Lonchura striata: one gene and its partners. The protein of the gene in region 1 binds, or shares a complex with, the protein of each later gene. Links are inferred from orthologs where the notes say so. Each region holds a gene or a part of one and is shown in the gene's direction. Other genes may lie near its edges.

Region 1 (9,725 bases):
TGTTTATAACTCCATCTCCTGAAGGTTATTGTGCCAGTGAAGATTTGTCCTGACTTCGTGGCTGCTTCAAATTTCAGCAGAGGCACAGGGATATTCCCCATTAAAGGAATGTGTGGGTTCTGTGCCACCACAGGGTTTAAGTTTTCAGATTTTAGTTTTAGTTTTTGGTTTTTCTGACTGGTTTGCAGCATTGAGTGGATGAGTAAATGCCTCCATGGATAAGACAGCTGATGCTCTGAGGAGTAACACTGTCCAGAAACCCTCCTCACCTCTGCCCATCCTGCTGATCCAGCTGTCCTGTGTGATGGATTCCCTAGGTAGGCAAACAGTAATTATGGCACTGCAGCTGTGGGATATCTTTGGAGGGGGCCTGGGGTGAGAGCTCAGCAGCAAACAGCTCCAGGAGAAAGGAGGGGAGGCATTAAAGCTCCTTCCAAGCCTTGTCACTGCTCTTATCAGCGAGCCAGCCTTGAGCAGCCAACCACACTCTGAAGAAGTGGAGGGGTTGCATTCCTGGCACGGACCCGAAGAGCTCTTTGTATGGCTAGGAAATGCAGGCACTTCCAGAGCTGAATTCCCAGGCAGATGCTGCTCCAAGGAGAGCCAGAAGGAGCAGAGAATAAAGGACATGCATTTGTTTCTTTCTTTTCAGTCTGTTGCCTCCTTTGAGACTCCACTGTGCCAGGGAGAGAGCCAGAGATGCTATCAGCTCTGCATCTGCTTCTTCAATTCAAGGGAATAAAAATATTTGGAAGGGATGGTTAGGGACAGAGCACCAATATAATTAAATCAGCTGCAGTACCCACAGAAACTGGAGAAATACTTCTGCCTTTACATGTGCAACATTCTGCTCATAAAAGGATCGATTTGCTCATCAAAGAGGGTTTTTAAACTCCCTTTTCAGTTGTTTTTTCCAAACTCTGTACTGTTTCTGCTATTGGGCACCCTCAGGTCTGGAAATGATACTGTTTTGGACCAAGATTTGCCAGTAAACTTTGGAAAAATGACTCAGATGTTCCCAAGCACATTTGGACCGTGGCAGCCCGGAGTACAGCAGGGCAGATTATCCACTAGGTGGGAGCCTCTCAATTCTAATGGGTGCTGGCCACCGTGGCAATTAAAGCACCGGCTCAGACCGACTCTCCTTCATCCTCCTGATGTCCAAGGAAGACAAAGTTCTGTTCCCTGGTTAGACCCAGACACTCCTAAACCAAAGAGCTGCCTCCTTAGGCTTCTATCTGACAGACACTGGAAGAACAGAGAATGAGCAGCCCAATAATGCCTATTTTGGAAACATTAATTCACTTGGCATGTGCCATATCATGACATATTAAGAGAATGAGTAGCTCTAAACATTCAAGTTGTCTTATGCTGCCTATGCTTGGAATTGAATTTTGCTTTTGTTGCATACAGGTCACAGAAATTAAAGCTGGTTTTGCAGTGTTCACAGCCAGATTTGCTCCCTGGTTTATGACAAATTCATTCCAGGTGGAAATAAAGAGGGAAAAGAAAGTAAAAATTGTGCTGGGATTAGCTCCTGCAGTATTTTTCAAAAAATCTGAAAATTTGAAATCAGAGTACGTGCTTTGGGAATGCAGAGCTTTAGTGTAGTTGCAGTGTGATTCCAACACGTACATTTAAAAAGCTTTTCTCCATTTAAACAGTACAATTAGCACTCTAATTTCTTATTTATACTTTGAATTTTCTATTAAAGTTCATAGGAAATATATTTATCTATCAAATGACTTGCCAGTTACTGTGACTCCAACAAGCAGATGGCATGATCAAGCTCTAAGAGCCAAGCAATGTCAGCACCATGCAGCAGTCAGAGTGAGATCAGACCATTTGTGGATGGCTTCATTCACCTACTTCTGTTCTCCACTTCACCACCAGTTACACTAAATTGTGTACCAAATACTAGAGATCAAATCTGAAGTGGTCTGTAGCAGAAGTGGCAGATTAGTAAAAGATTAGCAATCACTTTGCATCTTTAATTTTCTCAAAGGCAGGCCCCAATTGTTTCAGTGGCCCAACAAACAGTTCCATGATTGCGAACAAACCATGAAGCCAAACATCTGTACAGCTCTGGTTACATCAAGTCATAAGTGGGACCTGTTTGCTTGTAGCTTAAAAAGTTCATGCACCTGGAGCTATTCATACACCTGGATATTCAAAATATAATCAGTGAAGACCTGGGCTACTCAGTGATACTCTGCATAAAACATCAAGAGATGGAAATCATGCAGGTCAAATTCATCATGTCTCTTGAATCTGAGGATTGAGAAAGTCTGTGCTTGTTGCATTTATTAGGAGTGTTTATATGACTCAAATGCACCCAGCAGAGGACTTGGACTGGAGCCTGCTTCACAGCACAGCGCTCGACACGTGCCAGGCACGTCACTCACCCAGGTTCATCAATGCCAGCTCTCTGCAATGCTCACCCAGAACAAACACCTGAACTCCCAGTGCTGCTTAACAGAGCCTTTCCTGCTCAGGTGACCTGTGAAAGTGCTGCAGGTACTCAGGAGGTAGAAAGCTGATCTGGATCTCACTGCAAGAAGTGTTGTTTCCTGACACACCAGAGAGATCTGCTTGATTAATGCAGTGAATAACAATTCTATTGCAACAGTGCTGCCCTGTACAACCTGAGCTAGAGCTGCTGTGCAGCTGGGAGGGAGCTCTGCAGCCCGTGTTCAAGTCAGAGAAACGTGGGTGACCCTGTAGAGTAAACCCACTCTGGGTAACTACAAGTACATGGTTTCTAGTTGTAGTGGAAGGCCCTGGAGCAAATGTTTAGTTTGGTACTCCTGGGTGTGTGAAGCGCTGTGCAGATAGGAACCTGGATAAGTCAGGAGTGCTGTGTTTGCACTTACATGAAGAACACAAAAAGTAGAAAATGCCTCTTGAGCATTTTCCCTTCTGAAATAGAGCACAAAGACCTTGAGCCTGGAGTCTCATCTGAGATTAGCCAGACACTACAGAGACTCACTTATCTTAATAACAGATTTTCCTGAAGCCAAGATTTTTGCTTGGCAGTATTTCCTACATGGACATTTTCATAAATCATTCTGATCTGAAGGATGGCTAATGACAACATGAACTAGAAGCCACATTGCCTCAGGGTCACAGCTATGGCCCAGTGACACCCCATCACCAGAGAGCAAACAGTGAGTCCCTGTGTAGATATCCTGTGTAACCTGCCTCACTGGCAGTGCTTTCACCTGCACAGGAAACCAGGCTAAATCCTACCTGTCAGGAAAGACAATTTCATTAACAGAAAAAGTGTGATGTCTTGCCAACTAAATTCAATCACTAAAAGGCTTTTCCCTGTCAGCCCAGACTGTTCTGTTTCCAGCTGGATGCTTGTCGACCCTGCAGCAGCTCGAATGAATTTTGAATCACTAGCCCATGATAATTTCTGTGAAATTATCATGGGCTAGTTTCTTTGTTTCTTCGTAGGGTATGCCCCCACAAAAATGTCCAACTTAAGTTAGATATCCCTTTGAAATTTCCTTTAATTAATTTTTCATCTACTTGCTGACCGTATTCATTAGCTCTGCTGAGTATATGGTTGGCTGCCAGCTGCAGCAAAATAAAAGACCCCCCCCATTCTTCGTGCCTTTGTTTACATTCCCTCAGCTACAAACCCCATCTGTATCACTTCCTCAACTTACAAAAGTAATTTTCCTGCAGGACCTTTTTAACATCTGTGTCCCCTGTGTCTGAATCAGCTGCTTTTGTTGATTTGGAAGAGACTCTGGCATATGCTACAGGGAACATATGGTCTAAGTGTGCCTTTTTGTTGCAAAACCGGGAGTGAAATTCCTCTGCACATTGGAAGCAGAATAAATCGCTGATATTACTCCATTTGAGGCTACTGCTGACATTGCTGAGGCTGAGCAGAGGTTTTATACCAGACAGCATAAGAGGCAGCAGAGGTAGAAAACATGGCCAGGGACAGGCACCAGTTCAGGACTTTGAGATCAGCAAAGTTTGGGCTTTGTTGCTTAGAAAATAGGTAAGTCAGGAAAGGTGATGGCAATACAGACATCTGCAAGTAAATGCTCCGGGAAAAAAATTATCCATTTATAATACTTAGGAGTCAAAGGCACACAACAGTGGGGACAGAAAAATGGGTCTGTGATGGAGCAGTGCGGTCCTGACAGCAAGGGACACGCAGGATGGAAGAGCTGCAGGAGTGAAGGAGCAAGTGTCAGCAACTACTTGGTTTGTCAGTGTGATAAACAAAACCTCCTGTCAAAAAATGAATGACCATCAGTGGCAAGCAGTATCAGGAGATCTTTGATCCTGCCTTGAGCAGAAGGAGATCCTGGCTGTGCTCAGGGGCGTGAAGAGCCAGGGGTCTTCTTGAAGTAAGAGATACTTCAGTAATAAGCATCTGCCTCCAAGGGATCCATACTTAGAATTCCTCGAAGCAAAGTTTTGCAGAAGGTAACTTCTGCGTTTGAGGGACACTGTGCATTCACTCTTCTACTTAGAGTGACTATCAACAGGCATCTGCGGCTGCTCCTGTGACTGTCAGATGACTGAAGTGGTGCAGTTGAGAAGCACAGTTACCTCCAACCAAACCCACTGAGTGCATGACCTGCTGATAGAGCACCCATCAGAGAGCCAGTTTTAAACCTCACAGACACACTCTTTGCCTTCAGGTGTATTTCTACGGGAAACTGAGAACTGAGACACGCATTTGCAAAGTGCTGAGAAAGTTCAAGCCAGTTGAATCCGAAGAACAACGCTTGCCCACACCCTCACTTAAGAAGCATTATTTTTGTTGTTTATCTGCCATAACCCCGAATTATCAGTCACGGGGCAGGGCGTTTTGGGGAGGAGCGTTGATCTTTCGCTCAGAGCACGGGGCAGTAGGTCGGAGCTGCCTTGCCAGAGCGCCGGCGGGCTGCGGGCTGCCCAAGGACGGCTCGGGGCGCGGCAGGGACCGGCCGGAGCGGGAGCGCAGCCGGGCTGGGCGCTCACCGCGCGGCGCCGGCGGCGAGCAGAGCCGGCCACGCCGCCCCGGGGCGTTCCCAGCCAGCCCTCCCCGCTGCCCCGGGGGGCTGCCGAGCCGCGCTGGACACAGCCAGAAGTTTCCAGCCGGCGGCTCCTCCGCCGTCCCCCGCCCTCCTCCTCCTCCTCCGCGTCCCGCCCCTCGTCCCGCCCCCGCCGCCGTTTCCAGACAGTTCCAGCCCCGCGCCCCCGCCCCCCGGCCCGCGGCGGATAAAGCGGCCGGCGCGGCCCGCGCTCTGCCCCGCCATGAGCGCCGCCGCGCAGAGCCCGCCGCCGCCGCAGATGGAGGGCAGCGCCGAGCCGCTGCCCCCCGGCTGGGAGATCAAGATCGACCCGCAGACCGGCTGGCCCTTCTTCGTGGATCACAACAGCCGCACCACGACCTGGAGCGACCCGCGCCTGCGGGCGGCGCCGCAGGTGGGGCGGGCGGGGGTGGCCGGGCCGGGGTCCCGCGGGGCGAGGGGGGTCGGGGCCGTGCGGGGAGGGCGGGAGCTGCCTTTTGGCTCTGACGCACTGCAGTCCCTTTTTTGTGCATTCAATCATTCGATACCTCGGCCCTGTAATGTTTATTTAAAGTTGGTTAAGTCCGCCCGGCCTCCCGGGGAGAGGCGAAGCTGATTTATTTTTCAGCTGTGAACTGCCCGAACGCTGGATGCCTTTAAAAAAAATGAGAGATCCGGCTCGGGCTCCAACTTATTTTTTCTTTTCCCGTTTTCTTTTCCCTGGTCCCAAACTGCCGGCAGCTGCCGCTCCGGTTTTGTTCCGAAGCACGCTCGGGGAAAAGCCGCATCTCAGTCCAAATATGTCCATGGAAGGAGAGGCGCGGAGGGGAGAGCGGCCGGGGCCCTGCGGAGTGACCCTTTCGGGTCAGGTTCCGCGGCTTTTGGGGAATACAGCCCGTTCCTTGGCGGAATACAGCCCTCGGCCCAACAGCGCGGCGGCTGGGGGCAGAAAGCGCTGGAAACTTGAGCCTGGTGGGATTTGCCTGGTGGGAAAGCGATTCCCCGGGGTCTCGGCGCTCTTCTCCGCGCGGAGCATCGCGTAACCGCGGGCTGACCGCTCCGCCGCGCTGCCGGCCGGGGGCTCGGGCACGTCCCGGGCGCGGAGCTCCGCGGGGCTGCACCGGAGCCCCGGGGGGAGCCCCGGGGTCGGGCTCTGTGTCCCCGCAGCAGCGGGGAAGGGGCCGCTGGATGCGGCATGCGGCTGCTCCGGATCTCTGTTGAGTTTTTCTCCCCTACAACGAGAGGAGCGACGCGCTCAAGGAGTGTTAATTATTTTATGAACTTGCCGTTTCTTAAAATAGTAATTGCCCGGTTCGCGAGCGCGGGCCGTGACTGAAAGCTCGGTGCGAGAGCAGCTGGCCTCGGCAAGGAAGGGATGTGTTTCTCTATCACAAATTAACCCCCTTTGCAGCTCTCTAAGTGCTAGTTCGTTTGGTCTATAAATAAATTATAGTAATAATACACAAAGGTCTTAGAAAAATGGAATTTGAAAGTAAGAATATTGAGAGTAGCATAGGAAAAAGTGCTTTCTCTCCTTTATGGAGGCACCTGCTAACACTCGCTGTTGTGGTAGTAAAAATAAAGATGGTGTGGTTTTTATAGCCATAGAACGTACTTGAAAAGAAAAGTGTGCTGTTTCCTGAAAGGGTTTTGTTCCAGGAATACCACTTGAGACTAACCTATTTAACAGAATAGTCAAATTCAAGCTGCTTTCAATAATGGTGTGAAGAGAGTTGGAAGCTGTCTGGTGGATCAGCCCTCTGCTTGAGTGGGTGCCTGAAACAAAACAAATTTTCACCCCTATCTCGTGTGAAATCTGTGGTGATGAGAAGTGCCTCTTCTATGGCAAGGGCTGTCACAGGTAGAAAAAGCTGTATTTGCTTTTGAACAGCTTTTGTGGGACACACTCTTTTCCAAACAGGAAAATCTGTTACTCCTGGCTGCAAGCTGGAACGTGTGCTTTGGGTTTGTTCACTGTGAGACAGGGAAATGCCTCCAGAGATGAGCTGTTGTTTTTTGGGAGTTCCTAGCTAAAAAAAGTCTTCCAGTTTATGGTGGTAGAAGTTGTGTGTAACTGCTCTCACATGGGCATTTATCAGAGCCTCGAGTTAAATGTGTCTGCTGGAATTCATGGACAGCTGCTGAAATCATCAGTTTGTTGAGTACCAGTGTATTCCACAAGGACAGGTACTAGTTAGCAAAAGAATCTTAGAATCAGGCCCAAGGGAAATACGTCCTTTTCTAAATATTCTCTTAGCTGGGCAATGGCAATGAAAGCAAATTACCCATTGACATTGACTTCCAAATCCAACAAGGATTTTTGAAGATGCCAGACTTCTGTTAATACCTAAACAGATAGGAAGGACATAACCACAGATGAAAGCAAAAACCAGATTTGATGGGTAGAGCTTTCTGATTTCCTTCATTATTCTCAGCCTAGCTCAAATGAGAACTTGGGGTTTCTAGAAGTGATCTGAGAATGACAAAAGCTGACTGCATGTGTCAGACTTCATGCACCTTTTCAAGAATGATTATACGAAGGTCAAACTTGTGCTGACTTCATCACTGCATTGCTTTCACTGAAATATGACAGTGAAACTAGAAAATTTTTGACCACCTTTGAGGTGGTCTTGCAGTAAATCCACCAATATTCTGTCTGTGAATTTTTGTTCCCTTTCAGAAAAGATTAGGCAATGAAATGTGGTATTGCACACTAAGTGGACAATGACTGGAGCACAGATCTAGGGCTAACTGAGCTTTTCTATCTAGGTAAGAATATGGCTGAGACAGTGTCATAACAAAGTCCTGTTGTTCCCGAGTGCTTGATCTTGGCCTTCTCACTTACCCTGGGCTTAACATCAGTGTAGCCATGCTGGCTGCAGTAATCTGTGCCAGATACATAATCGGGTAAAAGTTGAAGTGGCTCCTTTGAAATTGTAACCCATGTCAAAGCCTTTTTAAAGCAACGAAACCAGACCTTGATTTTGCATTTAACTCTGTATTTTAGGTGCATTTGTGAATTCAGATGGCTCTCGGTTATTTCCCACTCAGTCTGGCCTTTTTTTTTTTTTTGTTTTTTACTGACGTGAAGGATGGGTATTCTTCTGCATGTTTGTTTCTGTTACATATAAGAAATCATGGCAGCATAAGGATGGCTTGGGGAGCCCTTCATGAGAAAGAGGGAAAAATCTCATGTTGTTTCAGTGAGAAATAAGGGATGAATTTTCAAATGACAGAAAAATATTTATTCATGAAGCTTCTTGGTAGACTAATGATTTTCTTTTAAGGATCTGATCAGTTAACAGTAATTTAAGGAAAGGTATAATCAATACTGTGAAGATGTATATACATCTAGTAAAAAATGTGTTTATTAGCAGTGTCACTTGTCCTTTTATTTGATAGAATTGCTCATTTCCTATGCTTATTTGTTGTAGTTCTGTGCTGAGGGCATCACAGCTCTGCATACTTCCTGCAGGATTGCCTTATGACACTAAATTGTTAACTTGGTGTTCCCCAAAGTGTCAATAAAAATAGATTACATTTAAAGAAGAAAACAAGGTTTGTATAGGTATTTATCAATGCCCCTTCTATGTGTTGTTTCCACATGCAGTAAACCCCCTGGGAAATAATGCAGCTAAAAATAAACCAAAGGAATTGACTGTGCTGAGCTCCACTGGTGGATATTGGAGCGATCAATAGCTCACTGGTGCCTTGGGTTTGAGATAAAAGCTGCAGCAGCTGGGCACAAGTCGGGGAGCAGCCATAAAAGTGATCTATGATAAGTTTTGGCTGCAGCAATGACTGCACAGGCTAAACAAAGGAAGAAGAAGCCATCTCACCCTGCTGCTGATGCTTCACTGGGGAACAGCTGACTACACCTAAGTTTCCATCCTCTCCCTTCATGGCTGTTGCATCTCTTTTTCTCTCTGCTTCCCCAAATAAGTCTGAAGTCACTCAATTCACAGCTCTTTAGCAGAAGGCTTATTTTTGAGCACTGACTTCTGGTGGTCAAGTTGAGTGAAAAATCCGTGGTAGACCAAATTAGAAATTGCATTGAGGGGTCAGAACAGCCTCTCTGAAGCTGTACCTCTCACAGTGGTTCTCCTCAAGGGAAGGGAGTGTGAGGTCAGCTTAGTAACAGTTAAGGTCTCTTCCACCTGCAGTGTTTTTACATTCCTAATGCTGATGTGCATTCTGTCAGGCTAACAAGTTAGTTACTGGATTAAAAAGGTACTATATAGAAAAGGCTTAGTAGGTAGGAGTGGTACAATTACCAGTGGGGATATTTGGAGGGTTGTGTCCTGGCTTTGCCCAGATTCCCTGAAGCTGCTGGGTGTGGTTATTTAAAGCCCCCCCTGACAGAACATGGTGAGCAGGGAGTTAACTTATGGATGTATCAATTAACCTGAAAACATGGGGTGGGGCTAATCGGAAATAAGAGACAGGAGCAGGAGGAAATGACACTGGATATAATGCAAGAGGAAAAGCAGAGAAGGTGTTCCAGGGTTCTGTGTAACTCCTACACAGAGGCACCTGTGCCCCTTATCTAAAGGACAAAGGAAGAAAGAATACTTGTGCCAGGTGGTAGCATTCTTACCTGGGAGCTGGGTTTTTAACACTTGTATGCACAGGCAGAACTTTTCCACGACTACAACGTGGCAGAAACAGAATTGTTCCCACTTGAACTATGATAAGGCCAGG
Region 2 (10,247 bases), on another chromosome or scaffold:
CAGTGAACTCCCTCTCAAAAGGGCTGAAAACCTCATGCTTCTTCCCCAAAGAGTCTCTCCCAATTTGATGCTAAAATGCCCCCTCCTTCTGCTCCCTGGGAAGATCCAAAGGAAGTGAGGGGAACCCAGAGCTCCCCAGCCCCCAGCAGCGTTTCAGGAGCAGCCTCCTGCCCCTTGGCACCCCATAACGCACATATGGAGCTGCAGCAAGGAAGCAGAGAGCCTGAAGATCCAAAACTAGGAAAGGAAAGAAGAGGGGCTTTGTGCAACTGGTGTAAATACCAAACTCACACTGACTGGAGTCCTCGTGGCTGGGAACAGATGATTGGAAGCACCACACCAGGGTTGGCAGCATCCACCCCCTGTGACCCCAGGGGTTGTGTGGGGCTGACAGCAGCTCCTGCACTCGTCCAGCTGATCCCTACATCAAGGACTGCCTCTGCCTGTTCAGTCCGTGGCAGCTAAATGCTCCTGGGGTTTCCCAAGCAGACTTGCATTGGAGTAAACCTCTCTAAAATATTTATTTATTTATTTATTTAATATTATTATTATTATATTTTTAATTGTATGTCAGAATGGACCAGTATTTATTTATTCTAATTTTTTTTTTTCTAACGTTAAGTTATTTTTGGATCTGTTTGTTTGTTCAAATGTATCCATGCCGCCGGTCTCGTGTAAAGGTTTACAGCTCTGGCCCCTCTCAGTGAGGTGGCCGGAGGAGTGACAGTCGCTCCTGCTGCCACCGTGTCCCTCTGCGCTCTCCGGCGCAGGGCGGAGAGCCCGGGACGGCCGAAGGGACGCAGGGCAGAGCTGCGCCTTTCCGTGCTGGAATCTCGCCTTTCTCATTAGATTTGTGCAGGAATGTGATGGGCGTGACCACAGAAACGGGTCTAGGACGTGTCGGGGGTTGCCGGCGAGGGGCAGCTGGCCGGCCGAGCTGGGTGCTGGCAGTGCCACCAGCGAAGTGTCGCCTGCGCCCGCCGGCCGGGCGCCAGCTGGCCCCGCGCTGTTTGCCTTGGCTCGGCCGGCGCTGCTCCGCGCCGCTTCCCTGCGAGGATGCCGTCGCCAGGACTCCCCTGCCGTGTTTATCCCTGCGCGCTGACCCACCCGTGGGAAAACAAAAGAGACTGTGAGAAAGAGATCCCTGCGGAATCCTTGCAAAATCCAGCCTCTGGTGACGGATCTGATCAAGGCTGTGTGTGTATGTGTGTATGTGCACATGTGCATATACATGTGAGTTTCCCTCGGTGTTATTTATTTTTTAACTTATTTAATATTTTTAGTACAAGCTTTAGTACACCCTTCCTGTTAGTGGACAGATGAGGTTTCTGTGGGTTTGTGTGAAGCTGTGAGTTTTTCTGTCTCTGTGCCTTTTGCCAGTGCTTTTTAATTTATTTTTTTCCCTCTCATTCACTGTTTTTACGGATTTTTGCTCTGCATCCAACACCTCAGATTGCTGCAGGTGCTCTCTGCAAAGAGCAGGTTCACCTGGAGGAAAGGCAGCTTGGTCATTTTGGTGTTGAATCGCTGCTGTGGTCACATCATCAGGGTAATATCTTGGCTGTTTTTTGAAAGCCCTGTCTCGCACTCAAAGGCTCTTTCCCACCCATGATTTTGAATCATCCCACAAAGCACCCCTGCTGCCTTTCCCAGCAGAGCACGTCACAGCGCTCACTCCAAATGTCTCCTTGAGCCTGGAGCCATCAGCTCTCCCCATTCACTGGACCTGCCTTGGCTCTGGGTTTGTCCCCCCAAGGGAGGCTTGTCCCACCTCTCCCAACCCCATGCTCCAGAAAATCCAACACCACTTCTGCAGGTTTGCTGGGAAGTAAAGATAAGGGATGTTTCAAAGCACTGTTCTGTTCTGTTCTTCATTGGTTGCAGCACTCAGCTGAGCTTTGCTTTATGTTAACTGCAATTTTCTCAATGTTTTTGTTGTTTTGGGGACTGAATTTGCACCAAACTTGTCTGCAACAGCTAGTCACTGTTATTTTGCTATGCATTGTACATATATCGAACAGGCTGAGAGGACTTGGCCTCTATTTAATATTTATTTCTTCTATTTATTGACCATTACTTTAAAAAAAGCTATTTGGGTCATGCTGTTGGGTCCATGAAGGCAGGAGCCTTTGAAGTGTTGCCAGATATGTTGGACAGAGGAAGGCAAATTTGGCTCATTTGGACCTCACCACCAATATTTAGAGAGGAACCTCATTGTGATGGAGATGGGCAAGGCAGGGGAAAACTCTCCATCTCCTTGAACCAGCTTCTGTTGACAGATCACATCCCCCTGGAAAGGAGTGGGGAATTCAGAGGTGATGGGCCAGTTCTGGTGGAGGAATAACCCTGCTCCTCTTCCTCTGCCACGTGGCATAGGGCTGCCATCACCAAAAATTCCTGGAGTTCTCTGATCTCCTACTGCTGGTCCCCTCTTCCCTCTGGGTAGGGGACACTTGTCACCCTTTGCATCAGTGATGAGGAAGGGAATAGGGTCGAAGTGACTGGCCGTGGTCTCCACCAGGAAGCAAGGATGTCCACCCTGCCCCATCCTGAGACCCTTGTGCCATGCCCTGCTTTGCCCCCTCCCCAGGCTTTGTGCCAGTAGCTTTTCTCTGATGTGAGCTCATTAGCTAACACAAACAGAGCTTTCTGCAGGCATCCTCCCCCAGCCTTGAGAAGAGCATGAGATGTGCTAAAAATCCCACCCTGCCCCAGCGTCGCTCCACCACGGCCACAGCCACTGCTCTGCCCACCTCGGGGGAGGTGTTTGTGCTCCCGGGGCAGAGCTGCCTGTGCTGGGGGACTGTGGACACAGCTCCAGCATCAGCAGGCGAGTGCCAGCGCTGGGCTGTTCCCACAGAGCTGGCCCAGAGCTGCTGGGTGCTCAGCCTCGGGCTCTTGGGGTATTGGTTTGAGAAAGGGGCAGGTTCAGGTGCCCTTCAGTGTGCAGTGGGGTTTTATTACCTCTTCACCACAGAATAAATAATTCTCATGACTTCGCTGCTACCTGGCAGTTTGCACATGACTGGGAGGGTCTCCAAAGCAACAGTGTCATGGTGAAGCACCCCAGCTTTTGGGCTATTGCCTAGAGAATAACACCCTCAGCAGCCCAGGGCAGCTCTCCACCTTTGAAACCCAGGGAGTGAGCAGGAGACGTAGAACAAAAGCCAAGACATGAGAAAAGCCGTGAGGGAAACGGTGTCTCTGTTCTCTGCCTGTTGGTTGATTCCACCCCCAACGACACCGGCACATCTGTTTGTTTGAGTTCATTGTAAAGCTCCCCTTGCTCTCCATCCACATGTGTTCTGTATCCTTTAGTCTTCCTGGGTGTTTGAGTTGTTAGCCTGGTTAGAAAAAGGTTCCAATAAAGGTTCGGACAGTATTTCCTTTGCATCATGTTCCTTTTGGATACAAGCGTGTGCGGTGGGATATTTTGGGTTGTTTCAGCTGCTCTGCAGAGAAGGGCATGTGCCTCCACTCCCAGCTGCTGAGGACTGGCTCCTCAGGGCACTGGCTGAAGCAAAAAAAGTTGTGGGCTAGTATTTCTGGCAGCTCTCCTTTCCCTGCTGGGCCAGGCTCCTGCTGCCCTTTGCCAGGCCCTTTGGATTCCCCCACCCTGTTCAGGCACTGGGAGTCCAAGCCAGAAATGCGTCCATCCCTCCCTGGAGGTCACACGGGCTCACCAGTGCTCTCCTCGGGGCTGTGCCCTTCCCTTCCTGTGCTGCTCCAAGCCCTGCACAGAGTTCCCATGCCACAGGGCCCTGCCATTGTCACCTTCTCACCTCACCAGGGCAGTGGGGACTCTCCAGCACCCTGGAAGCCCCGCAGAAGAGCAGCAGCCCTGGGCCATGTCCCCATGGTCCCCTGGGGGGCTCAGATGGGCACCCAGGAAAGGTCTGGGCATGGCACAGGTGGATCGTGGGGACACGGGGCAGCATCCCCAGGTCACTCGGAGGAGAAGGGGGGCTGCAAGGGCACTTCATGTTTCCCAGAGCTGATGTCGTGGGGTGGCTCGGTGGTGGGAGGCAGCCGGGAGGATTGGAATGACAACAGGAGCTAAATTGGGATGGCCCAGAGAGGGTGAGAGCAGGCGGGAGGAGGGGACGTGTGACTAATGGGGATGAACAAGGCGACAGAAAGAATTCCTGGCCGGGGAGGGAGGATGGCCTGGAGCTATGTGGGAAACGTGGGATGGGGGATGTTATGAGGCTCCTGGAAACACGGCAGGATCGTGGCACTGCCTGAAACCTCCTCGGGGCTTGTCCCTCTCACCCCGTGCGCTGCTGTTTGCCCAAGGGGGTGGCAGAGCTGGGTGGTGGGGCAGGACCACCTGCTCCTCAGCCAAGCTGAGACTTGTCCAGCTGAGCTCAGGCTGTGTGTGGCAGTGACCCCCAGGACTGTCGCTGTACTGTCACCCACGGGCACCAGGAGCCCCCAGCCAGGCAGAGGCAGCCGGGTAGGACAAGGGAACGGAGGGGGATGCTCAGTCCCTCTGCCAGCAGCTGCCTCCCCACACCAGGAGTACTTAGCTGGCACCTGGAACTTCCTCGGGCACTTCTCGGGCACCTCCAGGCATCCCTTCAGACCCCAGGAGACCCCTGTGATGCCCAGGTGTCTCCGTGCATGAGGGGCAGCCCTGCCCTAGCCAAGGGGAGGCAGCTCCCCGTGCCCAGCGATGCTGCCGCGATTAACGCCGTGGAGTGACCAGCGGCTGCATCCCTGTGCTGCATTAAACCCTTCCTGCTGCAATTACTTCCACAGAGTCCATTAGAAAAATTGCAGATGCTGGAGAGAAGGAGCATGATGCAGAGCCAGGATGCGGCATGAGGAAGTGGCTCCGTGGCCAACGTCACCCTCACTGATGACATCCCATCGTCCAGCACAGCCCGCTGCCCACCGGAGCCGTGCGTGGATCGCCTCCATGGGGACCCCCATCCCCGCCAGCCGTGCCCCCGCCTGTGGCCGGGCTCGGGGCCGTGTGTCCCGGGCGATGCTCGCTGGGAGCTGCCCCTGCGGTGCTGCTGCCGCGCCCCTTCCCACAGCTCGCAGCCCGCTCCGCCGCTGCCCTGTAATTACCGGCCCGGCCGCGGCTGTGATTAACGCCTCGCCCTGCCCGCACCGCGATTGCGGCAGGGCCGGGCCGTGCGGTGGGGCCAGGAGGAGGAGGAGGAGGAGGCAGGGGCTGAGCAGCGCCCTGAGCCCCTGTGCTGCCTGCTGCCGGGGGTCCCTCTCCTCCCTGCAGTTTAGGGGATGTTCCTCCGGGCCCAGCTGGTGGAGGTGTCCAAAGACGCAGTGCTGGAGGGGCTCATTTGTCCCCAGCCCCACACAGCCCCCCCGGGTCCCAGGGCGCTGGGGGTGCCCCCAGTGACCCATTTCCCGGCACGGCGGTGCTCGGTGGCGTGGGGACACGTGCCTTTACAGTGAGGGGAGCAGCCTGCTCACCCCACCACGGTATTTTTAACAGGTGACACCGCGCTGAAAGCAGCCGGCCCCGAGTGAGCTTGGGGGCTATTTTGGGCGGGCAGAGCAGCAGGAGGGGGCGGCAGGGGCCGGGGCAGCTGCCGAAGCGCCACGGCCCCGTGGCAGCCGGGATCCTCGGGCCAGCAGGAGAGGTCAGCTGCCACTGCCCAAATTCTCCACGGCTGTTTCATCCTCTCCAAAATACTCGGCTGACAGGGCAGGACTTGCAAAACACACACCCCCCTCCTCCGAAATCCATATAAATAGTACTCGCCCAACGGCTGGAAGGTTAGAGAAGTTTCTGGGCTCCAGGCTCAGGCATTTATTGCAGTTCTCACCCAGGAGCAGCAGGGAAAGTTGCACATAAAGTGCTGGAGAGTGAGAAGTGAGAGAGAAGCTTTTTAATCTCAGGATATTTGGGTTTATTATTTTTTTTTTCTCTCTCTCTCCTGACAAGAAGTTTTATTTTCCTCTCCCCAGTCCTGGGATCGCAGCCAGACAGGAAGCGTTTTCTAGCGGCCAGAGAGCTCCCTCCGTCCTTCCTGCGCTGCTCCAGCTCCCGGTGATTCAGCCTGAATTGATTTTCTCATCGTCCTTCACCTGGTGCCGGGCAGGAGGGACCGTCCCGGGGTGGATGCGTCTCCTCCGGGACAGGCTCCCGGGGGAAGTTTGCAGCCAGGAGCAGCCGCACAGAGGCTGAGGCTCCGTTGGAGAGCCCCGGGGACACGCTCAGACCCCTCCGAAGGAAGCCATGGCCGATAGCCAGATGCCCTTCTCCTGCCATTATCCCGGCAGGCGCAGCCTCCGCGACCCTTTCCGGGAGCCCGGCCTGACCTCGCGTCTGCTGGACGATGACTTCGGCTTGTCGCCCTTCCCCGGGGATCTGACGGCGGACTGGCCCGACTGGGCTCGGCCCCGGCTCACCACCACCTGGCCGGGCCCCCTGCGCGCCGGGCTCGGCCGCTCGCCGCCCATGGCCCCCGCCTACGGCGCCCACTTCGGGGGGTACCCCGAGAGCCGCAGCCCCGCGCCCTTCCCCCGCGAGCCCTGGAAGGTGTGTGTCAACGTGCACAGCTTCAAACCCGAGGAGCTGACGGTCAAAACCAAGGATGGCTACGTCGAGGTGTCAGGTGAGAGCCGAGGCACCGCGGAGGTGGCACTGCCAGCTCAAGGAATTGCTGCAAAATGCCAAAATCGCCTTTGTTTTAAGGCGGCGGCGGAACCCCCCGCTTCTGCAGCAGGGCTTTGGGGCATCTCCGGGGCAGTTTGGGTGTCACGGGGGGGAATCTGGCTCACAAGCCATGGTGGTTTGCTGCCAAAATGAGAAGGACGTGTGTCCTTTGGGGTAAATCTCCCTGCTTTCTGCCCTGGCTGGCAGCACCCTGCAGCGAGCTGCCAAGAGGGGCCCCAGCTCTGCTCGGTTAATTATAGCCAGGGTGAGGTCGGCACGGAGGGAGATTCCCTTTAAAGGGGCCGAGGGAGAAGCTGGGAAGAAAGGAGCAGCTGCTCACTGCCCCCAGCCCAGCTCGGCTCTGAGTCAGCCAGAAACACATCCCTGAAAAGTGAATTAATGTCGGGAGCAGTGGGTGTGGGGTCCAGCATTTTTGGGGTGCTCACGACTGCCCTCAGTGTCCCATCAGCCTGGCACTCCCCATTGTGCCTTGGTCCTCTGGGCTGGGATCACCGGGGGGGCTGGGGGCTGCCACCTAACGCAGCCCTGAGTATTTATTTGGAGCTCACTGCAGCACAGGGGGAAAGCTACAGGCTGGGGGGGGTCCAGGCAGCCTCTGGCTGATGCTCCAGGTACAGGGACCCCCAGCCTGACAGAGGGGGAGAAAGGAACCCATCCTGGGGAGTGAGGTCAAGGGGGATGCTGCCACCTACAATAGTTTCATTATTTGCTTATTTTCTTAAGCCCCAGCTCTTGGCAGCCTGTGAGATCCTGGTTTTCCACTGGAATTGTGGCTGTGCTGTGTCTAGCATCTCTTCACATGGAGAGGCTTCCTGAGCCCTCCCCAGAGAAATAATTTGCACCAGGACAGAGAAACAGCTGCTTGGAGATCTTTTCTCTTTGGTTTAGTTGTTATTGTTTGTTGGGGGAGAAAATAATCTGGTAAGGTCCTGATGTGGGGTGTTGGCCTTCCCTGCAGGCAAGCACGAGGAGCAGCAGGTGGAAGGAGGGATCGTCTCCAAGAACTTCACCAAGAAAATCCAGTAGGTACCGGTCGGCCTGGCCGAGCTCTGCCAGTCCCCGCACCCCAGCTCACACGCATAGATTTTCCACCCCAAAATCTGCCCTTCTGCTGCACGTGCCCGGCCGGGCCGAGCTATAGGGCGATTTCCCAAGGGAAGGAAAGGAGGAGGAGGCCTTTTCTGAGGCGCTCTGTCAGTCTCCCGCACGGCCGGGGCTGCGGCCGGGGGCGCGGGGAGGAGGCGTCCCCGGGAGCGGCGGGCGGGCTGCACCGCCAGCCCCGGAGCGCATCCCTGCGCTCCCCGCATCCCCGTGATGTCAGCGAGATCGCTATCGCCTTGACTCACCCGCGGCTCCCTTTGGCAACAACAACCGCAAAGGCGAGCCCCGACCGATGTGGGGGGCAGATCCCACCCGCGGGGCTCGCACGGTTAACAGGGAAAAGCATCAAAGCCCAGGGCATGGGAAGGGTTTCCTCAGCTGGCAGCAGCTCAGCTTTGCTTTTCCACCCTGAAGGAGCCCTGTGCATCCCGAACTCCCACGGGAAGGCTGGGGCGAGCACCGCTCGCTCCCGCTCGGGCTCCTTTTACGGGCAAGGCTGGCGGCTGACGCGGGCTGTGCGCGGCCGGGATTTACTCCCGCTCCGCGGGCACAAGCGGCGCTGACATCCCGTCAAACACATCTGCCGGCGAGATTAAACAGAGCTCCCGCGGCGGCCAGGCCGGCCAGCAGCCCACTCTAAATATCCCCGCACATTCCCAGGCGCTCCAGTAATAACAGAGGCTTTGCCTGGGTCCCCGCCCGCTGGGGGTCCGGGGGTCGGGATGAACCGGGGGTGCAGCATCCTAACCCATCGCCTCTTTCCTGCCCCCCTGCAGGCTGCCCTACGAGGTGGATCCCATCACGGTGTTCGCCTCCTTGTCCCCGGAGGGGCTGCTGATCATCGAGGCGCCCCAGATCCCTCCCTACCAGCAGTACGGCGAGGGCAGCAGCGGCAGCGAGATCCCCGTCGAGAGCCAGGAGGCCACCTGCACCTGAGCTGCCACCCCCGGCACCCCCGTCCCTTGTCCCCTTCCCCGCTCCCGGTCCCCTGCGGCGCGGCGTCCTGACAGCCTCGGGCAAGGGTGACGGGTGCCGCTCGCAGGGATGGCAGCACCCGCCACCCCAGCTGAGAGCCGGGCTCACACCGGGTGCCAGCCACCGTCCCCGAGGGCTTCTAGTGGCCTGAGGTGCCGGTAGAGATTTTGTGCCCACGGGGCCAAGCAGAAAGGATGCTCCTCCTTATGGTTATTGTTTGTTCCGAGTCGCTCGGATGGGATATTTATAACAATAGCAAAAAAAAGGGCCTGTTTTTTTTCTTTAAAATTGACATGGAAACCCGTAGCTCTGCGTCTTTCCTCCTCCACGAGTTTTGTTGTTTTTTTTTTAAACTACATCTCTGCAAAGGACACGCGTCCGGCGGCGGAGCTTGATGGCGTGGCCTCCATCCTGAGAAACGGTCTGCGTGCTTTGAACGTTGGTTTGGGGTTTTGGTGTTGGTGGTTTTTTTTTTTTTTTTCCTTATTTCCAAAGAGAATTTGTGCTTTTACTTGTCAGACCTGAGGAATAAAACCCAGTTGATGTTCTTAGCCTCTGCTCGTCTCGGCTGAGCCGGTGGGGTGGGCACAGGGCTATGGGAGGGTGGTGGGGTCGAGGGGAATGCCACCATGTGCCACCTCCCGGCTTGGCACAGGTCATCCCTGTGAAGGCAAGGATAAGGGAGATGCATGGGATGCCTGCACTGATGGGGGAATTCCAAGTCCCAGCTAACACTGTGCTGGGGAGGCATCAGGCCTGGCAAGGACCATGGGCTCATCCTGGCCTTAGCCCCTCAGAGGGTTGGAAATGTTCCTCCTGCTTGGGGATGCTGAACAGGCTGTGAGTTGGGAAAGTTGGGCTTACCCCATCCCCAGGTCCATCTCACCACGCCAGCTCCCCAGCTGCAGCTCCACAGGGAAGCACTTCCCAGAGGAATGGCGAGTGGTGTCTGCTGGGTTCTGGGCACAGCCTTAAAGCCACTCCTAGGGGCAGAGCCCCATTTGCTAAGCCACTGCAGTGCCTGGGCTTAGCAAAGCCGAGCTGTCGATGGGAGGCAAGAAATTTTCCATCGATCTGTGCAGCACCTGGGCCAGGCACCCAGTTTTCCATGTTACCAGGACCTCAGAGTTAAAAATACAGCCTCACATGTTCCGCTCTGGCTCATCTGGGATGTGGTTACCAACAACACCCACCACGTGCTGTAAACCCTGGCTCAGCACCGCGTGCCACGAAGGCACCCAGGTTCCAGGTGGTGGAGGGGAACCTGAGCACTCTCACCCAGTTGTGCAGATTATATTTAATTTCCAGCAGCTGTTGCAGAGCTGGGACCCCCTGATGGTGCAGAGCACAGCCAGCCCCAAGCTCAGCCTCTCTGGCTCTGCCAGGCACGGCTGTGAGCACAGCAGTTTTTATGAATAAAATATAATCCCCGAAATGTGATCCCGACACTGGCATGGAACGCCAAAAAGTCATGAGTCACAGCTCCAGCCCTGTGTCCTTGTGCCACTTGGAGCTGTCA
Region 3 (9,157 bases), on another chromosome or scaffold:
ACGGCCCAGGGCGGCTGCAGGCTGCCGTGCCCCTCGCACAGGCAGGGACGGGTGTCGCGGAGCCAGGCGTGAGGCGCCAGGGGCAGCGGGAGGTGTCCCCAGCCGAGCGGGGAGCCGCAGCCGCGGCGCCGCCGTGACGCTCCGCGCCGTGCCCCCGCAGCTCGACCCCGAAAACACCGGCTTCATCGGCGTGGAGACGTTCGCCAGCCTGGTGCACAGCCATGAGCTGCCCCTGGACCCCGCCAAGCTCGACATGCTGGTGGCCCTGGCACAGGGCAACGACGAGGGGCAGGTCTGCTACCAGGAGCTGGTAGACCTGGTCAGTGCCGGGCGGCCGCGGGGGCGGCGCGGGTGCCAGCCCGGGGCGGGCGCCGGGCACCTCCCCGCGCCCCTGGGGAGGGGGGCGGACACCGGCGGTCCCCAGGGTCTCCCCTGGCGCGGGGTGGCTCGTCCGGGCTGTGGCTGGAGGGGGCGGCGGGCCGGGGGCGGCCCCAGGCCGGTCCCGAGCTGCCCCCGCGGTCTCTCCCCGCAGATGAGCAGCAAGCGCTCCAGCAGCTTCAAGCGCGCCATCGCCAACGGGCAGCGGGCGCTGCCCCGCGACGTCCTGCTGGACGAGACCGGCCTCGGCATCTACAAACGCTTCGTCCGCTACGTGGCCTACGAGATCCTGCCCTGCGAGATGGACCGGCGCTGGTACTTCTACCAGCACCGCACCTGCCCGCCCCCCGTCTTCATGGCAGCCGTCACCCTCACCCAGGTACGGCACGGCGGGAGGGTCCCGGGGACCTCGGCAGGGATCAGACCGGGGCGGGCAGCACGGTTGTGAGCTGCTGTGCACGCAGAGCTGACCTGAAGGGATGTGTGACCCTGCAGGTGACAGCTTTGTGCCCACACCTGGGGCGGTGGGGCTGGGGGGCCCCAGTCGTGATGTTCTGGTGCCCACAGAGGGGCTCAGATAGGGGGTGAAGGTTTGGGTGACCCTCGCTGTGATGTCCTGGTGCGTTTGGTGGTGCTGAGACCCGGGACAGAGGTGGATGGGTGACCCCAGTGGTGATGTTCTTGTGCTCATGGGTGGGACCCATGGAGGGGCTCAGATCCAGGGTAGGAGGAACGGGTGACCCCAGCTGTGATGTCCTGGTGCCCTTGGGGGGCTCACATCTGGGGCGAAGGGAGTGAGGACCCTGTCTGTGACCTCCTTGTGCCCACGCGTGGGACTCAGAGCTGGGGCAGGGGGGATGGGTGACCCCAGCTGTGACATCCTGGTGCCCTTGTGGGGCTCAGATGTGGGGTGAAGGGGGGTGACAGCCACGGGGTTTGTCACAGATCATCGTGTTCCTGTGCTACGGGGCCCGGCTGAACAAGTGGGTGCTGCAGACCTACCACCCCGAGTACATGAAGAGCCCCCTGGTCTATCACCCCGGGCACCGGGCGCGCGCCTGGCGCTTCCTCACCTACATGTTCATGCACGTGGGGTAGGTCCCGCTGGGGGGGGACGCTGGGGACATCCCGGGGGCTCTGCAGGCTGAGCCTGTCCCCTCCTGTGCCCGGGCAGGCTGGAGCAGCTGGGGTTCAACGCCCTCCTGCAGCTGATGATCGGGGTGCCCCTGGAGATGGTGCACGGCATCCTGCGCATCAGCTTCCTCTACCTGGCCGGGGTCCTGGCAGGTGGGTGCTCCCCGGGGGGACTGTCCCCATCCCCCCCGTCCCTGTCACCAGCCCGGGGGGGCACGGGGAGGTCACACCGAGTTTGGTGGGGATGCTGGGCTCTGCTGGCTGCCACCCTGCAGTGCCAGCATCACTCGGCCAGGGGCTGGGGGGCAATGCAGGCTGTAATTAATTAATGTAGACAGTAATTAATGAATGCTGTGGGGGCGAGACCCCGTGCTGAGCCCTGTCTGTGCCCCCAGGCTCCCTCACGGTCTCCATCACGGACATGAGGGCCCCCCTGGTCGGGGGCTCGGGGGGGGTCTACGCCCTCTGCTCTGCTCACCTCGCCAACGTCGTCATGGTCAGCCAGGGGACAAGGGGACACAGAAGGGGGGACAGGGGTGGATGACTCTGTAGGGTGGGCAGCACGGTGGGGGATGCCATGGGGTGACAATGGGGACGGGAGCTGTCTGCAGGTTGGGCATGGTGGTGGGACATTATGGAGGGATGCCATGGGGTGGCTGGCACTGTGGGTGGGCAGCATTGGTGGGGGATGCTGTGGGGTGGCATTAGGGGTGGCACTGTCACAGAGGGACCACCTTGGGAGACATGGGGTGGGTGTGGGTGGGAAGGAGCAGGGACCTGAGGGGGCTCCATGGGGCATTCCAGGGGCTCTGGCAGCAGTCCCCACCTCTGTGCTGGAGCATTGCTTGTGCCAGCCCATCATCCGTCCATCCATCCATCCATCCATCCATCATCCATCCATCCATCCATCCATCATCCATCATCCATCCATCCATCATCCATCCATCCATCCCTTGTCCATCCATCCATCCATCCATCATCCATCATCCATCCATCCATCCATCCATCATCCATCCATCCATCCATCCATCTATCATCCATCCATCCATCCCTTGTCCATCCATCCATCCATCATCCATCATCCATCCATCCATCCCTTGTCCATCCATCCATCCATCCATCCATCCATCCATCCATCCATCCTTCATCCATCCATCCCTCCCTCCCTCCCTCCTCGCTGCCGTTCCCGCAGAACTGGGCCGGGATGCGCTGTCCCTACAAGCTGCTGCGGATGGTGCTGGCGCTGGTGTGCAGTGAGTACCGCCCCCGTCCCTGGCCCCGGCCGCGCGGCCCCGGGCGGGCTCAGCAGCTCCGGCCCGTCCCGCAGTGAGCTCCGAGGTCGGCCGCGCCGTCTGGCTCCGCTTCTCGCCGCCGCTGCCGGCCTCGGGGCCGCAGCCCAGCTTCATGGCGCACCTGGCGGGGGCCATCGTGGGCATCAGCATGGGGCTGACCATCCTGCGCAGCTACGAGGAGAGCCTGCAGGACCAGTGCGGCTGGTGGGTGCTGCTGCTGTCCTACGGCACCTTCCTGCTCTTCGCCGTCTTCTGGAACATCTTCGCCTACGACCTGCTGGGGGCACAGATCCCCCCCCCGCCCTAGCCCGCCCCCTCGCCCCGACCCTGCGGTTCGTTTGTTTGCCGAGCCCGGCGGAGGGGCTGGGGGGTCCCCGCGCGTGACATGGGGACAGGCCACCCCGCCGCCCGTCCCCTCGGTGCTAGCGAGCGCGCCGCCCGCCCCGGTGTCCCCGCCGCCCCCGCTGTGCCCGGCCCCAGGGGAAGCTCCGGCCCCGCCCCGGCGCCGCCGCCCCTCGGGAAGGAGCCGGGCCCGGGGACCCCCGCCGGCTCCCGGACCCCCTTTCCAGGACCTGCACTTGCACACGAAGGACTGGTGCCAAAAGAGGAGCCATTTATTTTTCTATGCCAAAATAAATATAAATAAAAGAAAGAGGAATAATAATAATAATAATAATAAAAAAGAATAAAAAGAAGGATACGGGGAGAGCCCGGCAGGAATCGGCTGAGACCGGCACAATCATTTTGGCAGTGCCCTCGGAGGCACAGCCCCCCTCCCCGCGCCCCGGGCCCGCTTTGCTGACCCCCGGCACGGGGGCCTGGCTCGGGATGGGGGCGCGGGGGGTCCCCGCTCTAACCCCCCCCAGACCTTTTTGAAGTATAAATAAATATTTTGCACACTGCGGGGGCTCGTGTCTCTGTCGGGGGCGGGGGTTTGGGGGTGCCCCCATCCCCGATGGGCGGCGGGGCGGGGGCTCAGCCGGGCTCGGGAATTACTGGAGCAGAAAACTCCGGGATCAGTGGAGCGGCGCCGGGCCGGGCCCCGCGGGGCTGGGGCGCGGGGGTGAGGGGGGGTCTGCAGACCACCCCGCTCCCTGCACCCCCCGCTGCAGCGCACACAGCGCTGGCTGCAGGCGCCGGACCCGCCCCACTCACACCCCCAAACCCCCAACCCCCTACTCACACCCACCCCCCATCAGCTCCGTGCCGCCTCCCCCATCCCCCTTTTCATTCACCCCCATCCCCTCCAGCCAGGCCCCTCATCCATCCTGCACTACTCTGTACGCCCCCCTCCCATCAAACCCCATAAACCCATAAACACCATCAACCCCATCAAACCCCATCAAACCCCACAGACCCCACAAACCCCATAAACCCCACAATCCCTATCAAACCCCACAAACCCCATAAACCCATAAACACCATCAACCCCATCAAACCCCATAAACCCCACAAACCCTATCAAACCCCATCAAACCCCATAAACCCCACAAACCGCATAAACCCCATCAAACCCCATCAAACCCCGTAAACCCCACAAACCCCATCAAATCCCATCAAACCCCATCAAACCCCATAAACCCCACAAACCCCATCAAATCCCATCAAACCCCATCAAACCCCATAAACCCCACAAACCCCATCAAACCCCTCAAACCCCACAAACCCCATTAAAGTCCATAAACCCACAAACCACACCCCAATGCCCTCCATCCACCATCCCCTATTCAATCCCATAATCCACACCCAGGCCACGCCCACCCGGCACTGACCACGCCCCCGCCAATCTGTCTTTAGCCCCGCCCACCGCGGGCGCCCCGCCCAATCCGCCGGGCTGGCCACGCCCCTCATATGCATATCCCCGCCCCTTGCCGTTAGCCCCGCCCACCGGGCACCGTCCCGTCCTGCCGAGGCCCCGCCCCGCCCCGCCCCGGAAGCGGCGCTGTCGCAGTGCGCGGCGGAGCCGGAGCCGCCGGGGCTGCCGGGGCTGCCGAGGCCGCCGAGCCAGCGGAGCCGCCGGGGCCGCCGAGCCAGCGGAGCCGCGGCCCCAGCGCCGGCCCGGGCCGCGCCATGAAGGGCAAGGAGGAGCGCGAGGGCGGCGCGGCGGGGCCCGGCGCGGCGGGGCCGGGCGCGGGGGGCGCGGGTGGCGGCAGCCCCGAGAAGAGCCACAGCGCGCAGGAGCACAAGGAGCAGGGGAACCGGCTCTTCGGCGGCCGCAAGTACCCCGAGGCCGCCGCCTGCTACGGCCGCGCCATCGTGAGTCCCGGCGGCGCCCCCGGCCCCAGCGGGACCGGCCCCGCCACGGGAGCTCCGGGGAGGGGACGCCCCGGCCTGGGTACCCCGGGACGGGACACACCAACCTCCCCCCTGGCCTCGATGGCCCCGGGCTGGAACCTCCCCCCTGGCCTGGACACCCGCCCGGAGCTGGCCTGGCCAGCGCTGGGTGGGGTCCCCAGGGATGGGACAGCCCCCACACACCGGGCCGTGACTCCCGCAAGATGGGACATCCATCCTGCCTCCCCCCTGCCTGGACATCTCCCGGGCCCTGGCCTGGGCATCACCAGGATGGAACCTCCTCGGGCTGGGCGCTGTTCTTCCTCAGGGCCTGGCCAAGACACCCCTGACATGGGACCTTTTAATCTGGACACTGTTCCCTCCCTGAGCCTGGCTCCTCCTGGGGAGGGCTGGACACAGCTCTGGGCCTGCTTCCCCCCATTCCTGGGCCTGGACTACCACCCCTAGGCCTGGCCTAGGCACCCCCCGACCCTGGCCCGCTCTCTGGACTTGGACACCCCCAGCCCATCCTCTCCCCACCCCACTCCAAGCTGGCCTGCCCTGCACCCCCTGAGCCTGTTTCCCCAAGCCCCGCACTGTCCCTGGGCTGTGCTGGGTAGGGCAGACCCAGCCTGGGACAGTCGAGGTGTCTGGGGGACAGTCCCCTGTGGGGGCTGGGCCATGGGCTGCCCTATGGGGACCGGCCCCAGCCCGTCCCCAATCCATGCCAGCACCTCCCCACGGGGTGCACACCCTGGCTGGCACTGCTGGCTCTCCCTGCCCAGGGTGACGGCGCCGTGCCGCTGGCTCACCGAGTCACCGGGCTGTCACCAGCACGTCCCGGCCCTGCCGCCGGCACCGACATGGGCCTGTCCCTGCAGAACCGGAACCCCTTGGTGGCCGTGTACTACACCAACCGGGCCCTGTGCTACCTGAAGATGCAGCAGCACGACAAGGCGCTGGCCGACTGCAAGCGGGCGCTGGAGCTGGACGGGCAGTCCGTGAAGGCTCACTTCTTCCTGGGCCAGTGCCAGATGGAGATGGAAAACTACGACGAGGCCATCGCCAACCTGCAGAGAGGTGAGCGGGCACGCTGCCACTGTCCCCTGCTCCTGTCGGCTGGGAAAGGGCCAGGGAGGGCGACAGGGACGCTGGCGCTGGGGTGCCCTTTCTCTCCTCAGCCTACAACCTCGCCAAGGAGCAGCGGCTGAATTTCGGGGATGACATCCCCAGTGCGCTGCGCATCGCCAAGAAGAAGCGCTGGAACAGCATTGAGGAGAAGCGCATCAACCAGGAGAACGAGCTGCACTCCCACCTCACCAAGCTGATCGTGGCCGAGAAGGAGAGGTAACGGGGCACCTGGAGAAGCTTTTTGAGTGCCACCAGGCTGTCACTGCTCTGTGTGAGGTGTCTCTGCAGAGCCCTGCAGCAGGGAAGGGAGTGCCAGTGTTCCCCATCCTCCTGATGTCCCACTCTGTCCTAGGGAGCTGGCGGAGTGCCGAAAGACTCAGCAGGAGGAAAACACAGACGAGAGCCGGAGCCGTGTTCAGCTGGCCAGCATCGAGGCCAAACACGTGAGTGGGGGGCTGGGGGCTTCCCCGTCCCCATCCTCGTCCCCATCCTTGTCCTCAGGCTCTGCTGCACCCAGGGAAGCGGCAGGGCTGCAGCTGTGCAGGTGAAAGCTGGGAGACCTTGGGACCGTAGCCTTCATTCTGTAGCTCGAGCCACCACTGCAGGCCTGTTGTGTCCCCCCATGATGGCTTCCCCTGCTCTGCCACCTCTTGTCCCAGCCTGGCAGCGGTGACACCTGCTGTGCCTGTTGTTCCCTGAGGAAACACAAGTGGCTCTCAGCCACATGTGGGTCTGGGTGCTGGGGACTAATCCCAGATAAAAATAGGCCCACAAAGGAAGGTTATTTGTAAGCTGGATTGCTCCTGCCAGCTTCAGCCAGGAGCTGCACAGGCAGAGGGGGCACCAAGGACCGGCCACAGCACCCATGATGGGAGGCTTTGGGGCTCTCCCTGGGGTCCTGTAGCCCCTGCACACCAGGGACCCCTTGTCCTCAAGAGCTTCTCTTTCAGGACAAATACCTGGCAGACATGGACGAGCTCTTCTCCCAAGTGGACGAGAAGAGGAAGGTGAGTGTGGCCCAGCCTGTGCTCCTGTAAACCTTCTGTGTACCCTGCTCCCCGCTCTGAGCCAGCACCACCTCCCAGCCCCCTTTCCTGACCCAGCTGTGCCTCTCTCGAGACAGAAGCGGGACATCCCTGACTACCTGTGTGGGAAGATCAGTTTTGAGCTGATGAGAGAGCCCTGCATCACGCCCAGCGGGATCACCTACGACAGGAAGGACATTGAGGAGCATCTCCAGGTACTGCAGGGGGCTTTCCCAGGACCTTGCCTGGGTGGGAAGGCATATTTTTGCTGAACTCGGGGCTCCACAGGCTCCTTGGGTTTGGTCCCAGTTACCTGCCCGGGCAGCTCCCTGTGGAGCAGGTGCTGCCAGGCCCTGCCCAAAGCGGAGGCGGCTCTTGGCGGGGGTCTCACACCTTGACCTGCCCTCATCCTGCTGGGAGGCACCTCTGAGGGGCTCTCCCTCTTCCTGCGGGCAGGTGCCCGGGTGCCAGGGCAGATGCCACGCGGCGCTGGCCTCACGCCGCCTGCGCCTCGGGGCTGAGCGCGGGCACGTGGAGTAACCGGTTTCCCCGCGCTCCTCCCCGCAGCGCGTGGGGCATTTCGACCCGGTGACGCGGAGTCCCCTGACCCAGGACCAGCTGATCCCCAACCTCGCCATGAAGGAGGTGATAGACGCGTTTATCTCGGAGAACGGCTGGGTGGAGGATTACTGAGGGGCCGGGGCGGCACCCTGGCACGGCTGGCTCTCCGGGCTGGCACCCTGCCTTACTCGCTCTCCGGCTGTTCCCCCTCTGCCCCGGCTGCCCCGGCCCGGCGCTGGGCGAGGGCACGTCACCACGTCCCCTTCCCGAGGAGCCGCGGCGGCTGGGCGGGCACCACGGCTCCCTGGCTGCCCTCTCCGGCTCCAGGACCTGCCCGGGGGTTGGAATGCTGGCTCCTCGGCAGTGGCCTCGCCATCGTGTCTGTCACCCCCCCAGCCAGGGCAGCAACAGTCCCCAAAGAGCACGTCCCGCTCCAGGGATTGCCACAGGGGGCTTGCCGGGAGGAGCACCTGGAGCCCCATCCTTCCCTGTGTTTAGAGTTGTTTCCTCCTCCTCCTTCCACCTCCTGCCTGGCCAGGGTTGGGTCCTCTTCCCAGTAAACAGCCACTTACTGGGATGCTGATGCACCCTCTGGCTTTTCCTGGTAAACAACTGCCCCAGGGCTGGAAGGGGGCTGCTTCCCCCCTCCCCTTCCCCACTGGGACTGTGGTTCCCCAAGAAAAACCACCTGGGTTAAAGTTCTTCTTCCTTTTAATGAAATCCCTTAAAAACCCCACAAAAAATAACCACCAGATTTGCATCCAATTGAGATTCCAGCATTGTGGTCTGCTGACGGCCTGCCTGGCTTTTGAGCACCCTCTGGAAGTTTGCCAATGTCCATTAAAAGAATATATATATATATATAAAAAGAATAAAGAAAAAAAATCAGCAATAAACGTGGAAAAGGACCTGGAGTGGTTCACGGCAGCCATTTCTGGGGATATCCAGGCTGGGAATCGGTGCCATTCCATGGAGACCAGGTTTGCTCCAGGGACGTAGCAACACAGAGCGTGCTTCAGTAGAACAGCTTTAATCCAAGGGTAAAGACCAGTAAACACCAGAACTTTCCCAGGCAGTTGGTCCCAACAGCAGTGGCCTTTCCCTGAGGGTGGCAGGAGCTGGAGCTCCTGGCCTAGCTGGGATGGTGGCGCCACGTCCTTGTCCCTGCCAGCCCTAGCCCAGGAAGGTGGAGATGAAGACGCTGGTGTCCAGGTTGAGCGTGGCGTGCCACCAGCGGTCAGGGAAGTACAGGACCTGCAGGGAACACCAGTGGGTCCCACAGCTCTGGCCGGGACTCCTGGGGTGCCCTGCAGCCCTGGCCTCACCTCCCCGGGGCGCAGGGTGCACTCCAGCGGGCGCTGG

What was found.
Region 2: BAG3 (region 1) and HSPB8 share a complex: the UniProt entries of both Homo sapiens proteins name them as parts of the chaperone-assisted selective autophagy (CASA) complex. The link is inferred for Lonchura striata from reciprocal best matches to the Homo sapiens genes BAG3 and HSPB8.
Region 3: BAG3 (region 1) and STUB1 share a complex: the UniProt entries of both Homo sapiens proteins name them as parts of the chaperone-assisted selective autophagy (CASA) complex. The link is inferred for Lonchura striata from reciprocal best matches to the Homo sapiens genes BAG3 and STUB1.

What each region holds. Positions count from the first base shown.
Region 1 is NC_134609.1:27,402,591-27,412,315, forward strand, and holds the start of BAG3 (BAG family molecular chaperone regulator 3), read left to right. Parts: upstream 1-5,233; 5' UTR 5,234-5,268; coding exon 5,269-5,439; intron 5,440-9,725. UniProt on the Homo sapiens protein: Co-chaperone and adapter protein that connects different classes of molecular chaperones including heat shock proteins 70 (HSP70s), e.g. HSPA1A/HSP70 or HSPA8/HSC70, and small heat shock proteins (sHSPs), e.g. HSPB8.
Region 2 is NC_134620.1:5,260,469-5,270,715, reverse strand, and holds HSPB8 (heat shock protein beta-8), read left to right. Parts: upstream 1-5,713; 5' UTR 5,714-5,845; exon of another isoform or gene 5,846-5,940; 5' UTR 5,941-6,211; coding exon 6,212-6,590; intron 6,591-7,610; coding exon 7,611-7,674; intron 7,675-8,529; coding exon 8,530-8,689; 3' UTR 8,690-9,279; downstream 9,280-10,247. UniProt on the Homo sapiens protein: Involved in the chaperone-assisted selective autophagy (CASA), a crucial process for protein quality control, particularly in mechanical strained cells and tissues such as muscle. Displays temperature-dependent chaperone activity.
Region 3 is NC_134618.1:3,127,454-3,136,610, reverse strand, and holds STUB1 (E3 ubiquitin-protein ligase CHIP), read left to right. Parts: upstream 1-4,808; 5' UTR 4,809-4,874; coding exon 4,875-5,060; intron 5,061-5,959; coding exon 5,960-6,158; intron 6,159-6,259; coding exon 6,260-6,425; intron 6,426-6,561; coding exon 6,562-6,652; intron 6,653-7,159; coding exon 7,160-7,216; intron 7,217-7,332; coding exon 7,333-7,449; intron 7,450-7,801; coding exon 7,802-7,927; 3' UTR 7,928-8,289; downstream 8,290-9,157. Other genes in the region: RHBDL1 (rhomboid-related protein 1), read left to right, coding at 161-319, 533-757, 1,324-1,472, 1,553-1,665, 1,908-2,008, 2,705-2,765, 2,840-3,111; JMJD8 (jmjC domain-containing protein 8), read right to left, coding at 8,290-9,049, 9,121-9,157. UniProt on the Homo sapiens protein: E3 ubiquitin-protein ligase which targets misfolded chaperone substrates towards proteasomal degradation.